Astyanax mexicanus: one gene and its partner. The protein of the gene in region 1 purifies or fractionates together with the protein of each later gene. This does not show direct contact. Links are inferred from orthologs where the notes say so. Each region holds a gene or a part of one and is shown on either strand. Other genes may lie near its edges.

Region 1 (7,373 bases):
TTCAGCTGATCCAACAAGACTCAGATCAGATCAGATCATCATTCAAAATCAGTCCACTTTAGTTCAGTACTGATTTAAAATGATTCAGTTTACTTCAGTTCAATACTGATACAGTTCAGTTTAGTACTGATCCTACATGATACGATTAAGTTCTCTTCAATTTAGATCTGATACTACTAGATACAATTCAGTTCACCTTCACTTTAATACTGATCCAACATGATCTGTTTCAGTTCAGAGGTCTAAACAGGTCTGAACAGGTTTAAAAGTTCAGCACCGATCCTACTGGATATGATTCAATTTAATGCTGATCCAAAATGATACAGCTCACTTCGGTGCAATGATTCAATCCTCCTCAGTTTAGCAGTAATCCTACTGGATATAATTCAGTTAATTTCAATCCAGCACGGATCCAAAATGATTCAGTTGACGTCAGTTCAGTACTGATTCAACATGATTTGGTTTAGTTCAGAGGTCTACACAGGTCTGAACAGGTTTGAAAGTTCAGCACTGGTAATACAAAAGCATTTAGTTCCCTTAGTTCAATAATGATCTTACTGGAATTTACACATTTTATAGAACTGATCCCACTGAATACACCTGTTATTTGATTTTTAATAATAGTGTTGAACATAGGTCATCAAAAAAAAAAAAAACATTTGCTGAATGAAGGGAAACGTTGCTTAGGGATTCTAACAGTCAGACACTGCCATCTGCTGGTCACATGCAGTCAATACTGACTGCAGCAACTGAAATTATTTCCTTTTATCAAAATATACAACATTTAAGAGCAGGACAGGTGTGTGAGTGGTGCTGTATGAAAGGGCGGGGTTTAAAAGTACCTTAGCGCTCCCTTCTGGATCCAGCTCATTTACACACGACACATATTCTTGCATAGCCTGTTCTTTACTCATATCCCCCAGATCCTTCCACGCCGTCCTGCAGAACACACACACATACACACACACACACCTCTTAGCATTATAATATCATACAGAGGACCAAAAATAATCTGTGTTCTGATGTAACAGTTATATACACACTGATCAATAACATCATAAAATGATGACTAGTTTTTATACACATTATTCATTTGACTGTATAGGACACTGTGTAGTTCTAAAATTACAGACTGTAGATCTGTATCTGTTCTCTGCATACTTTATTATTATTATCCTCCTTTTATCCTGTTCCATAATACTCAAGACCCCACAGGAGAGAAAAACAACTCAGAGCAGCTATTATTATTATTATTATTATTATTATTATTATTATTATTTGGGTGGTGAGTCGTTTAAAACCTACAGCAGCACTGCTGTGTATGATCGACTCATATAACAGCACAACACACGCCTTCACCTCACAATCTCTGTTTTTCTTTAATGCTTCTAATGTATAATTTAGTTAAATGCAAATACAAAGAAAACTTGACAGATATTAAACATGTTATTAACTGTGACTAAATATACCACAAGGGTAATGCAGTTTATTTATTTATTATTATCTGTCTAAATCAACTGTCTGTAAACATGCTGAGACTCACCATTTTCTCTGACCCTCGAAATCGAAGAATCCTGGTTTGGGTGTGTCACACTTTCCAACTTTAGCCTGGTGAATAAACAGCATAAACATTATAAGAACAAATAAACATTATACAGCATTATATTACAGCGTACTACTCTTATTAAATGTTATTACAGTAGAAATACACTGTTTCTAACAAAAATGGCCAGTGAGTGAAAGCAGGTAGGTGTTTCTAATAAAGTGGCCAGTGAGTGGAAGCAGGTGGGTGTCTTATAAAGTGGCCAGTGAGTGGAGGCACAAGGTAATAAGTAGGTGTTTCTAATAAAAATGGCCAGTGAGTGAAAGCAAGTAGGTGTTTCTAATAAAGTGGCCAGTCAGTGGAAGCAAGTAGGTGTTTCTAGTAAAGTGGCCAGTAAGTGAAAGCAAGTAGGTGTTTCTAGTAAAGTGGCCAGTCAGTGGAAGCAGGTACGTGTTTCTAATAAAGTGGCCAGTCAGTGGAAGCAAGCAGGTGTTTCTAATAAAGTGGCCAGTCAGTGAAAGCAAGCAGGTGTTTCTAGTAAAGTGGCTAGTAAGGGGAAGCAAGTAGGTGTTTCTAATAAAGTGGCCAGTCATTGAAAATAAGTAGTTGTTTCTAATAAAGTGGCCAGTCAGTGGAAGCAGGTAGGTGTTTTCTAATAAAATGGCCAGTGAGTGAAAGCAAGTAGGTGTTTCTAATAAAGTGGCCAGTCAGTGGGAGCCGGTAGGTGTTTCTAATAAAGTGGCCAGTCATTAAAAGTAAGTAGGTGTTTCTAATAAAGTGGCCAGTCAGTGGAAGCAGGTAGGTGTTTCTAATAAAGTGGCCACAGAGGTGCACAAGGTACAGTAGGTGTTTTTAATAAATGGGTCAGTAAGTGAAAGCACAAGGTAATAAGTAGGTGTTTCTAATAAAGTGGCCAGTGAGTGGAGGCACAGGGTAATAAGTAGATGTTTCTAATAAAGTGGCCAGTGAGTGGAAGCACAAGATAGTAAGTAGGTGTTTCTCATAAAGTGGCCAGTGAGTGGAAGCACAAGATAGTAAGTAGGTGTTTCTAATACAGTGGCCAGTCAGTAAAAGCAGATAGGTGTTTCTAATAAAGTGGCCAGTAAGTGTAAGCACACGGTAGGGACGTTTCTATTAAAGTGTCCAGATGTGGTTGTTAATATGAGGATAATCAGAAGCCCCTCCCCCTCCTCTCACCTGTTTGTACCTGGCGTACAGGTAGAGCAGCTTGTCTCTGGGTGCTGTTTGGACCAGTTCTCTGACCCGGTCCGCTGCACTCTCGAATTCCTCCTGAAGCTCCGAACCGTCAGAGTCCGGCGAGGACGAGCGCGAGGCCATGGCGGGATTATTAATAAGAGTAATGATACAGAGAGGAGCAGCACTAATACGCGAATTATTATTATTAATAACAGTAAAAACAGCGACGCTGCGGGATAAACCTGCTGATCTACAGCATTCAGCTTCACACACACCGCTCACACACACAACATCCGGGTCACGGGGGCGGGGCCTCCTCAGATCCCCACCCGTATTGTGCCCCGCTGTGTTCTGATTGGCTGGTTCACTGTAAAATCTGCAGAACTAACATTTTGACTCCATTATTTACTGAACTATACATAGTTCACGAATCATTCAAATGTAGTTTGTATTTTATTATTTAATGCTCCTTTGAAAGGGTTATTTAGTATTATTTAGTATTTTATAATTAATCATTATCTGGATTTGTGTCTGCATTATACTCGATTATTTACAGTATTGTGTGATTATGGTGTGAACTGTGGGCTGGATTTTTATTTGTGTTTACTAAACTTTATGCTTAGTTATAATCTATTACACTAAATATATCAGAAATTGTCATGAATTATTCATATTGACATCAACATAGGATTAATAGGACAATTTAAAGAAAATAAAAAAAGGATTGTTTATCATATTTATTTATTAGATGTTTGATGCGTTACCTAATAAATATGTATTAGAGTGCTAATTTTAATAGAAACGTTGCTGCACAATTTACAGAATTATTTAATGTATTTTCTGATTCATTATTCGCTATTTTCTCTGCATTTTACTCACGATTATTTATAGGATTGTGGTTGTTATGATATCAATTTGAGCTGTTTTTTATTTTATGTAATTTAGTGAATGTAAATATGCTGAGTTATAATCTATTTCTATAATTATGTAACCCATTTTGAGATTAATAGAATTATATACAGAAAAAATGGATTAATCATATTTATTTATTTTACGTTATGTTGGTTGTTTTACACACCAGCATTAAAATAATAAGTAGTAAGTAGTAGTATAATTATTATATAATTTACTCTATGTTGCATTGTTTACTGTAACATCTATAACTACTTAAACCAACAAAAATATATATTTTAATGTTGTTTGTTTAATATTGTAATTAATGTTATTATAATATATATTTTATTCGAAGTAGCCACTCAGTAAGAGGTCAGGATTTGCAGATGGCGGAAAACAGGCGTAAATAAAAGTGGGTTCCTATTGGTCCGGGCAGGTCCGGCGCTGTAAATGCTCCGGATTGACCCGGACTGAACGGTGGAGCGGGATTACAGAATGAATACAGAGTTCGAGTTCGGTCTGATTAATCCGGCTTTACTGATTCTCTGGATAACTTAAATCTGAGTTTTATTAAACACAGCGCGTGCTGTTTCGCAGCGAGCATGACCTGGGCCAATCAGAGAGGAGCAAGCTCTCGAAGACCACGAGCTTCTGACCAATCAGGGGCGAGCTTTATTTTTCTATTTTTTTCTTCAATTATCTGTTATTCTAATATCTAATATCTTCTAATGTCTATCTATTTTGTTTGTTTGTTTGTTTGTTTGTTTAAACTCTGTCATATAAAGAAAGCATTTTATGCATTTTTACCTGTATGCGTCATTCTGGGACGAGCTTCTAACCAATCAAAGCCGAGCTTTATTTTTATGTTCCCAAGATTTACATAGTTTGGAATTTTATAAAATAAAGGATGAATTATTTTTAATTGTAGTTATTTAAAAATAGTGATGTTTTACATTATAAAGTTATACAGTTCAGTTTTTGTGAATTAAAAAGTGTTAAACAAACCAAATTATGTTTTATATTTTAGATTATTTTAAGCATCACATTTATCTTTGAGTACAGATCTGCACACTCTAGGTGAAAACTACCTGGAATAGTTTTCTCAGTGTCTTAAAGGTGTTCCTGGAGGTGCTGAACAACATTTGCTGCTTTTTTGCTGCTTGTTTTGTTTACTTTAATTACCACAAGAAAAACATTAATTATATTTAATATTTTGTTTGCCCATAAATTAGTACAGTGTTTATTTATGTTGAATAATAAAGTTGCATTACTGGCTGAGCCCGCAGGGTGGCGCTGTGTCCGTGCGTTTTACACACACAGAGTGCTGACTGTTTGCTTCTTCAGAGGAAAAAACTCACACGACTATTTTCCAACCTTTCTTTTATCCCTATGTTTAACACAGTGCTTTCAGGAGCGTGTTAATAAATAAATTAAAGACATATTTCATACTGAATAACTTCTGAATAATTCATTGTAGATACTGAGTGTTACTCTTTCAAGGATTTCAGGTTCGGCTGATTTTATCCGGTCCTGTCTGACTAATGATGGAGACTGATGTTGCTACTGGATTGTCTCACACTCTCACAAATATAACTCATCCCATTATTATATAATATATCCACATGACTTCAATGGTTTTGCTAACCTCAGCATCCTTTTTAGGCATGAGAGCCTATTAACATAAATTAAATAATTTTGCTTATGTCTTATTTACTTACAATTTTTAAGCACCTACTTATTACGATATTTGTTTTAATTACAGTGTACAAATATGTATGCCAATAATTACAAGTTAATTGCTATTTGAATTAATTGTATCATTATATGTTTACCATTTTTATCAGTGGCATAAAAAAGAGTTCTCAGAATGAACCAGGCTGCTGTAGTGCTAGTAGTATTTGTAGTTGTTGCAGCAGTAGTAGGTGTAGTAATATAATTAGCAATAGTAGTAGCAGTAGTAGCAATAGTAGTAGAAGTAGTAGTTGTAATAGTAGTTGTTATGGTTTTAGTTGTAGCTGTTGTAATAGAAGTAGTAGTAGTAGTTGTAGTAGTATATGTGTAAGGTTGTAATAGTCATAGTAATTGAGTAGTTGATGGTTTAATCAATTATGAATTGTTTTTTTTATTTTCTTTATTATTGTTGTCCTTGTTATTAATTTTTGGTATATTATAATTTTTCCTATGCGTGCTTTGTGACAGCCTCAGCTGTGAAATCTGTGAAATACAACATATGTATTAAACTGTTATTAATATTTTAGTAGTAATAGTAATTAAATCAACCTTTTTTAAAATTCAATACTAATAATGTAGGCAAGTTCACTGTATAGTAGTAGTTTTATTTTTTTATTTTTTAAATTAATAGTAGTAATTTGTAATAGTTGTAGAATATTTAATTAATTATTTTTTCATGTTATGAAGTAGCTGTAACATTTTAACATATTATTATTATTATTTTATTTTATTTATTTTTATTTTTTATCTGTATTTATTTATTTTTTGCTATATTTGGTGCTATGTTAAATTTAAATAAACGGCAGCGCGTCTGTGCGTCATGACGCAGGCCGGTGTACGCCGCAGGGGAGGAGGGAGGGGCAGAATGAGAGAGGGGGCGGGGCCTGTTGAGGAGGGCGGGGCAGTGAGTGGGTTACAGCAGATTCAGTCGCAGTTCTTCAGTCAGACTCTCTCTCTTTCAGTCTGTGTAACTCTCCCTCTCTCTCTTTCTCTCGGACTGAGTTTGTTTACTCGGGCTCGCGGATATGCCTCTGACAGCGTGATAAGCGCGCGGACAAACACACGGCAGAGATTATCCCGGAGCTTTAGTGTGTGTGGAGTGTGTTGAGGGGTGAGAGAGTGTGCGGGGGGTGAGGGAGTGATCGGATCTTCAGGATGAAGTTCGCTGAGCACCTTTCAGCCCACATCACCCCCGAGTGGAGGAAACAGTACATCCAGTATGAGGTACACACACACACTCACACACACTCACTCACACACACTCACACACACTCAGGGGTCAGTGAGGTCAGAGAGTGTATAAAGTGTAACAGCATGACCGTGAACTTTGGACCTGAATTATTCTTGAATTAAAGTCAGTTTTCCAACCTGTTTAGATTTATTCCAGATTATTCTGTCCTGTTCAGATTTATTCCAGATTATTCTGTTCTGTTTAAATTTATTCCAGATTATTCTGTTCTGTTCAGATTTTTTTCCAGATTATTCTGTTCTGTTCAAATTTATTCCAGATTATTCAATCTGTTCAGATTTATTCCAGATTATTCCAACCTGTTCAGATGTATTCCAGATTATTCCAACCTGTTCATATTGATTCTGGGATTATTCTGCCCTGTTCATATTTATTCCAGATTATTCCAACCTGTTCAGATTTATTCTGGAATATTTTGCCATGTTCAGATTTATTGTAGATTATTTTGGCCTGTGCAATTTTATTCCAGATTATTCCCACCTGTTTAGATTTATTCCAGATTATTTCAGCCTGTTCAATTTTATTCCAGATTATTCCGATCTGTTTAGATTTATTCCTGATTATTTCAGCGTGTTCATATATATTCCTGCTTATTCCAACCTGTTTCGATTTATTAAAGATTATTCCGACCTGTTCAGATTTATTCCAGATTATTGCAACCTGTTCAGATTTATTCCAGATTATTCCAACCTGTTCAGATTTATTCCAGATTATTCCAAACTGTTCAGATTTATTATAGGATATTCCAACCTGTTCAGA
Region 2 (7,604 bases), on another chromosome or scaffold:
GCCCTAGCGCTAGCATAGCTCGTAATTCACACATTGGTTGGCAGATATGAGTATCCAGATACACGTAAAATTAAAATGTACACCATATGAGGTTACGAGACCCACATGATGCGACCACAATTCCGTGAATTGAGTTTAAAAGTTTGTTTTACGAGCTATGCTGGCGCTAGGGTGCTAACGCTAGCGAGCTAACACTAGCAAGCTAACGCTAGCAAGCTAACGCTAGCGCCCTAGCGCTAGCATAGCTCGTAATTTACACATTGGTTGGCAGATATGAGTATCCAGATAGACGTAAAATTAAAATGTACACTATTTGAGGTTACGAGACCCACATGATGCGACCGCAATTCCGTGAATTGAGTTTAAAAGCATTTTGTGATTAAAAAAACGCTAATGCTAACTTGGCTAGCTAGCTAACATGAAGCTGACTGGCCAGGTAGATATTTTATTACACAGTGAGGTTTCTCTTACCTAAATTCCCCATACACACGAACCGCTTTTAATAAATTACCAAGTACAGCTTAAATATACATATATTTATGACTAATACTCACCGCACTCTCTGCTTTTCCAAAATAAAATGGCGCTGCTGCTGAAGAGAAGTCCACAGACAGCCACGAATGTCCCGGATGAAGAAAGTAGCCAGCCTGTTGAGTTTACTTCACTGGGATGCGTTCACCAAACATGCACTTATTAATTAAATCAGACAACTTAACTGACTTTCATCACAGCAGTCCAACTGACTCAGGTTTCACTTGCTAACACAAAGCTGTTAAGTAATTTTAATTAAAAATACTTGATTAAAATCAACAACAGGGTGAGTTTATTTTTTTGAGTGCAAACTGAAAGATCAAGCAAGGAGAGCACTGGTCAGAGAAGCAGCCAAGAGGCTCATGGTCACTCTGGAGGAGCTGCAGAAATCCATAAATTAGGTAGCAGAATCTGTATACAGGACAACTATCATAAGTCATTCATTCCACAAATATGGCCTTTATGGAAGAGTGTCAAGAAGAAATCCATTGTTAAAAGAAATGTATGAATTGCTGTTTGCAGTTGTGGCAAACGTGAAAGAAGGTGCTGTGGTCAGATGAGACCAATGTTGAACTTTCTGGCCTAATTGCAAAGCACTATATGTGGAGGAAAAGTAACACTGCTCCTCACCCTGAACACATCATCCCCACTGTGAAACATGGTGTGGTGGCAGCTTCATGCTCTGGGGATGCTTTTCTTCAGCAGGGACAGAGAGAGGGTCAGAGTTAATGGGAAGATGGATGGGGCTAAATACAGGGCAATCCTGTAAGAAAACTTGTTGAAGGCAACAAAAGACTTGAGACTGGTAAGGAGATTCACCTTCCAGCAAGACAATGACCCTAAACATACAGCTGGAGATACAGTGGTTTAGATCAAATAATATTCATCTGTTGGAATGGTCCAGTCGCATTGAGCATCTGTGGCGAGACATGAAAACTACTGTTCACAGACACTCTCCATCCAACTTGGCTGAGCTTGAGCTGTTTTATAAAGAGAAATAGGGCTAAAATCTCAGTCTCTAGATGCACAAAGCTGATAGAGACAAACCCCAAAGCACTTATAGTTGTAGTTGCACTGAAAGGTGGCTCTACTAAGTATTGGGGGGCTGAATGCTTTTCAGATGTTTATTTGATCAAAATTTTGAAAACCATGTATGTTTTTCGTTCCACTTTACACTTATGCAATACTTTGTGTTTGTCTATCGCTTAAAATCTCAATAAAATACATTTAAGTTTGAGGCTGTAACGTGACAAAATGTGGAAAAGTTCAAGGGGTATACTTTTGCAAGACACTGTATTTATGATAAAGGTTCTGTTACACGTATCACAGCGTATCAAGGGGTCTCAGTCTTTCTCTTTGAGGACAGAGGTCCTAAATATTCCTGAGCTGGAGGATGCCAACAGCAGCGATGGTCCCAGTCTAATGGAAACAAGTGAGGAGGTTGCGACGACTTCTCTAGCTGGAGCCCACTTTGAATGTCTTTTGAATAATTGTCAGAAATATTTTGTAATTTAATCTTTGTCATTTTGTTCACCAACCATTTCTTATCTTACCTTATTTACTTTTTGCCATTTTGTGTAAGTAATGTATAGATAATGGTCTGTAATTAATTATTCAATGACATCTATGTGAACAGTGTAAAGCTCTTTGATTATGCATTTATTGTGAAGTGATCGATTTCTGTTTTTTTTTCTTTTTTCAGACGCACCATTCCATTGTTCCATTTGAATGCTATTTTCAGATAAAGAAATGCAGCACATGCTCATTGCCCAGTATGCCCAAAGTTTAAACCAGCAAAACGATACAGACAACAAGCCACCTAGATGTGCATTTAAAGAATTCAGTCTCCTTTCAAAGTTAAGTTTATTTATGTAAAGATGAATCACACATGTTAAGCATTCATGACATGCTTAACAAAAACTGGTGTTTTATTTACAGAGTTCAGGATATGCAGACGTAATTTGGACTGTAGGATGACTAGACTACCACTGCCCTCAATGCCAAGATGCTTTTAAGAAGATCATCTGAAACAGTGCATAGGGTTAAATGGAGGTCAAACGTTGGGACATGTGAAGTGCAGCAGGTCAGACCCTCCTCTCTTCATCAGAAGCTTGGACATGCTCACCCTCTAGGTCAAAAAAACGAGCCTGCTTGTCCACCCTCTCTAAAAACTGAACCTGCTCACCAGCCTATTCAAAAGCTCGATCTTCGCATGCTTTAGGCCAATGTAGACTTTTAGTCATGGAGGAGGAGGAGGAGGAAGTGGCAGAGGAACTGCAGCAGTTTCATTCTTCAAACCAGCAAATGCTCCCAGAGAGAGTACTGTCCCCATTCATTTTTTTGTTAAAAAAGAAATGGATGACATGCAGTGGTTCTTAGACCACTGCCAGAATCTAAACATATATTGTTCCCTGTGGAATGTTAAAAAAAAAAAAAAAAAAGTTAATTTGACAAACTGTGTCTTATGTTTCATGTCGATTTCTTTCTCTGTCTGCTTTCTTTCTTGAACATCAGGTTGTACCACAGAACTGTATCTAGTTGGATTCAGAGTCTATTGATTAAAATAACCCCTTTAAACAAAATGTATTTGGAACACTGGTTAATAGCCACACTAGTAAGCATTATACTAAGTTTGTGTTGGTTTTCATATGTCCCAGATAGCAAAGAACATTTTGATTAACATTGAGTTATGGTTGCATTACACCTTTAATGTTGATGAAAAAACAACCTTTTATTTAACATACCCTTAGAGGCATTTGTTAGTGGTAAAATTCAGACTTTGAGTCAATGTTTATTAAAGGCTTTGAGTAGTTGGGACTCTTCTACACTCACAATGCTTTTAGACAAATTGTGCTCCCCTAAATATGTCATTTATGATATTTATTTAAATGGCCCTTTATACACCAGAATATCAGTACAAGGTATAATAATTATGAAAATACATATTTAATACAAACAACACATATAAAACCATAATGTTGAATAAATAAAAAGTGATATGCACTAATGTTTTGATTAAGACAAGGATAAAATGAATATTGATTTAACAAACTTTTGCTACCTGCAATAACTACAAGACAATCAAAAATACAACACACTTTAGAGATAAGCCGTTTATTCATATTAAGAGCCCTACTCTGTTTTCTGGTTGTATTGTATCAGTAGATACAATGTGCACAACTGTTATCAATTATACATGCTGGCCAATGTCAGGACTGTTATCATTTGTATAATCGCACAACACACTAAGGATGTAAAAACTATTATAAGCCTTCAGAAGTGTAAAATCTAATCTACCACCTACAAAAACTGTTACACACATCCTTGCATGGCCAAGCTCACGTCCACACTTAATTTCATTGGCCACTACAGGGTTAAGGGTGCAGGTGCACTGTGAAGCTCCTGTTGCACACAGACAGTCTTGCAATCTTCTGGTGCTTGCTCATGAACAAGTCTCCCTGGGTTGAGAGAGGAAGAGAAGGGTTAGGAGGGAGTAAAACACATTTACTAGGGAAACCCAACTCTTCTGGAGGTTTAGGGGGCTGCTGATGTGGGCCTCGAGCTGAAAACATCTTTTTGCCCAAATGTTTTACAGTCAATTACATAGAATGCATGTGGGGAAACCTGCACGAAATATTACATACTACAATTTACTGCATGGATATTTTATTCACAAATAGGAGCTGATAAACACAAATTGGATAATGGACACAAGTAAAAATGCATATGATATAATATTTAAATTGGAAGAACCGATTCAAAAGATTAAAAGGGACAATCTGTTAGTTTACTGACAGGGCCTCAAATAATGTTGCTATAGGGTGTGGCTAAGTTGATGGGGCTGCCGTTGTCAAGGGGCGTGTTAAAAAAAATGAATGTTCAAAAATATAGTTTTTTATATAACAAGTATTTAGATAACAAATTACGTCCTTTCCAAAATTAATTGACCAAAAGTCCCCTTTCTGTATTTATTTCTTTAACGTTCTTCCTCGTGTGTTGCTATGAACTACATTGACCATAAGGCTGTGTGACAGTGGGCGTGTTCGGACTTTTACAAGACCAGTCCCTCATTTCCTGGTTAAACATGGCGGATGAGAATGAGACAGCACCGAAGCCGGAGAAAAAAGAGGAGCTAGAAGAGGACCACGGACACTGCAGCGACTGCGAAAATGAAGAGCACCATTTTGACGACGGGTAAGCGATGCAAACTCTGCTGCTGCTGCGGTTAGAGATTTAAAACAGTCGTGGTCCGCAGCCTTAAATGCTCGGCCGTCATACGGCTGGGTCAGTGGAAGCCAAAGGAACGGGAGTCATAGGAACCCGCCCATTGGACGGTTGGGATTGGTCTGTTTGTTTGATTGACAATGCGTTCTACGCTGTAATTGGAGCATACGGGTGGGTTGTGAGGAGATGGGCGGGACTTAAAACCTCGTTTCTTTAGTTCTGCTGCTCAAAGCTAAGCTGCTTCTCTGTGTTGAAAGCTCAGCGCTGCTATACTGTCATTTCTAACCACGTTTTTTAGTTTCTGGGACATAATAGTATAAATATTACTTTATTTAACATTTGGCTACAATGTTCGTACTAGCTAGATGTTTATATTGATGCCTGGGTTGTTTAAATGGGCTAAATGTTGAGCTTACTGGCACATGAACCACCCTGAGCGATTGGGTTCCTAGGTTAACACTCAGGTTAGTTAGCTAGCTAGCAAGTTATCTAGCTAACTAACCTGGGTAACTAAACGAGCTGGCTAATATAATAACCAACTGTTACTTTGTAAAATAACCTAGATGGCCATATAAGTAAATATCCAGCTATTATATCCATCTTGTTCTAAATAGCTAGCTATAGCATTTAAGCTGTAGGTTAGTAATGGATAAAGCAGGTCGCTAGCTAGCTAAGTTAGCTTTAGCTAACTAGAACAGAAATCATATAGAGGCCTCCCTGTCCTTGCTAACAGCTAGCTAACTAGACCAGACTAGCCAGCATGTCTGTAGCTAGCAGCCTTCTAGCTAGCTTTAATCAGTTTAATCTACATTTTTAAATTCTTTCTCAGAATTTCTTTCTACATTTAGGCGTCATTTCTAAGGTATTCCACGTTAGGTTACATTTATAAATGTAGTGACATTTCAGAAGGTGAACACCTGTTTTGGCCAAATGTATTTGTGTATGCTGGGAGGCAAAGTTAGTTAGCTAACGATAACACATATTTATAAACCTGTCCAGAATGTAACTTAGTTAGCTACATTGCAATTTGTTTATTTAGCTGGTATAGTTAGCTACGTTTTAAGCCTTAAAAGTTAGCATAGCGCAGCACAGCTGGGAAATTACCTATGCTTTATTATGTCACATAAAACCAAACCAAAGACGTAACTTACAGCCAACAAAACAAAATCACCAAATACTGAAAGCAAGACACCATGATTTGCCCGTATACTGCTAGTTAGCTACTAGCTAGAAACTGTTAGGTTAGATTTTCTAGGTTTGCTTGGTACTGTAGCTACATACACAGAATAGGACAGAGCTATTGTTCTCTATATCTACAGATATAGCCCTCAAACTGGAAAACATTAGATAATAAGAAAATGCTTTAGGCCACAAATGAGTACACAATAAAGTGCTGTGTGTGCTTTGGCAGCAGATATGGATATGAATATGGTGAAACGTGCTTCATATCAGGCAAACAACAATTTATTTCGCTTTCACTTTCAACATTATAACCTAATTCCCCTAGGGTAATTCAGGGAGGTTTTGTTCAACCTGTCTTTCATATTTTTTATGTGTTCCCTCATCTTTTCATCTGTTCAATGTTTTAATATAGTTGCTGTTAATTGTTATTTTTCTTTCATATATCAAGTTCCACCTTCTTTTATCATTTATATAATTCTTTCAAGTGAACCCTGCTGTAATCAGGTATTTGCTTTGTAAGTGACAAAGCTTAAAGAGCTGCTGATTGCTTTGTGGTTGTGCTGTTCACATAAGTGCATCATTTTTGTGGGTAGCCTTAAATTTGGGATTGGTATGAGTACGGTAAAATTAATTTTATATTAATATAATAAAGAACTATTTGGATATTAGCTTTACTAAAGACAGACTCTTATAGTGTAGGTCCTTTGCCAGGAAAGTCCAATTGGCCAGCAAATGGCCAATTCGGCTGCAGGTTTTCATTCTAAACAACCAGCAGCACATCTGATTCCACTGGTTTAACCAATTGGTCAGTCTTCAAACAACGAATGACATGTGCTTCTGCTTGGCTGTCCTAAAAACCCTGCAGCCAAACTGATTTTTGCATATAAAATTTTAACAAGCAATATAGAAGAACCACCTTTGGTTCCATAAATGTAAATGTAATTATTTATTCTTATTTTTAATACACTATACAATATATGCCAAATGTCATAGGACCGTAACTAGTATCATCAAATCCAGTGACTTTTTTTTCATGTCCTATGGAAGCTAAAAAAAAAAAAAATCATTACTGGGACTCGTGGATTTGAGGAATTTAAAATGGCTACAAAACTTGGAACATAGAAATGGCATATCATAATTCGCCTTATCCTATGCCCACGCCTCCCACATCACGTCACATCACATGACACAGACAGCAGCAGTTGTTTTTGGTCCACCAAGCCTCATGGTTCTGCCCACAAAGTCTGCTGAGCGACAGAGAATCGTGGACACACAAACGCAAATGTGTAAACATGGGCAGCGGTGTAGGTAAATTGTTAGGATTAATGAAATGGTCCAATTAAATTTAATGTATGGACATGTTTTCTACAGTTTAGAAGCCAAATTAATTTGCTGTGGATATACTTTTTAGGATGTCAAACATGCTAGACTCTTCCAGTTCAGATTTACACTCAAACCTTCTATGTGCTAGTGCTATGTCTTCACCTCACTGGTGTTGGAGTCCTAATGAGTGGGTTGGGTAATTGGCCTTGTAAAAAAAAAAAAAACTATTAAAGTTTTAATAATGGTAATACATATTGTAAAATCACAATTCCAACCTCCTTAAATTAAACTAATTCTATCCAAACAGTAGGCGTGCTTAGTAAGATGTCTGAATTAGAATATTT

Evidence for each region. Proteins that work in one complex are often made in the same cells at the same time.
Region 2: the proteins of acbd6 (region 1) and nmt1a purify together in Homo sapiens (co-immunoprecipitation; 3 studies listed by BioGRID and IntAct, with this or other methods). This does not show direct contact. The link is inferred for Astyanax mexicanus from reciprocal best matches to the Homo sapiens genes ACBD6 and NMT1.

Annotation. Positions count from the first base shown.
Region 1 is NC_064419.1:9,253,655-9,261,027, reverse strand, and holds the start of acbd6 (acyl-CoA-binding domain-containing protein 6), read right to left. Parts: upstream 3,033-7,373; 5' UTR 2,882-3,032; coding exon 2,741-2,881; intron 1,609-2,740; coding exon 1,544-1,608; intron 940-1,543; coding exon 843-939; intron 1-842. Other genes in the region: xpr1a (xenotropic and polytropic retrovirus receptor 1a), read left to right, coding at 6,521-6,589. UniProt on the Homo sapiens protein: Binds long-chain acyl-coenzyme A molecules with a strong preference for unsaturated C18:1-CoA, lower affinity for unsaturated C20:4-CoA, and very weak affinity for saturated C16:0-CoA. Does not bind fatty acids. Plays a role in protein N-myristoylation.
Region 2 is NC_064426.1:25,287,253-25,294,856, reverse strand, and holds the start of nmt1a (glycylpeptide N-tetradecanoyltransferase 1), read left to right. Parts: upstream 1-4,590; 5' UTR 4,591-4,615; coding exon 4,616-4,725; intron 4,726-7,604.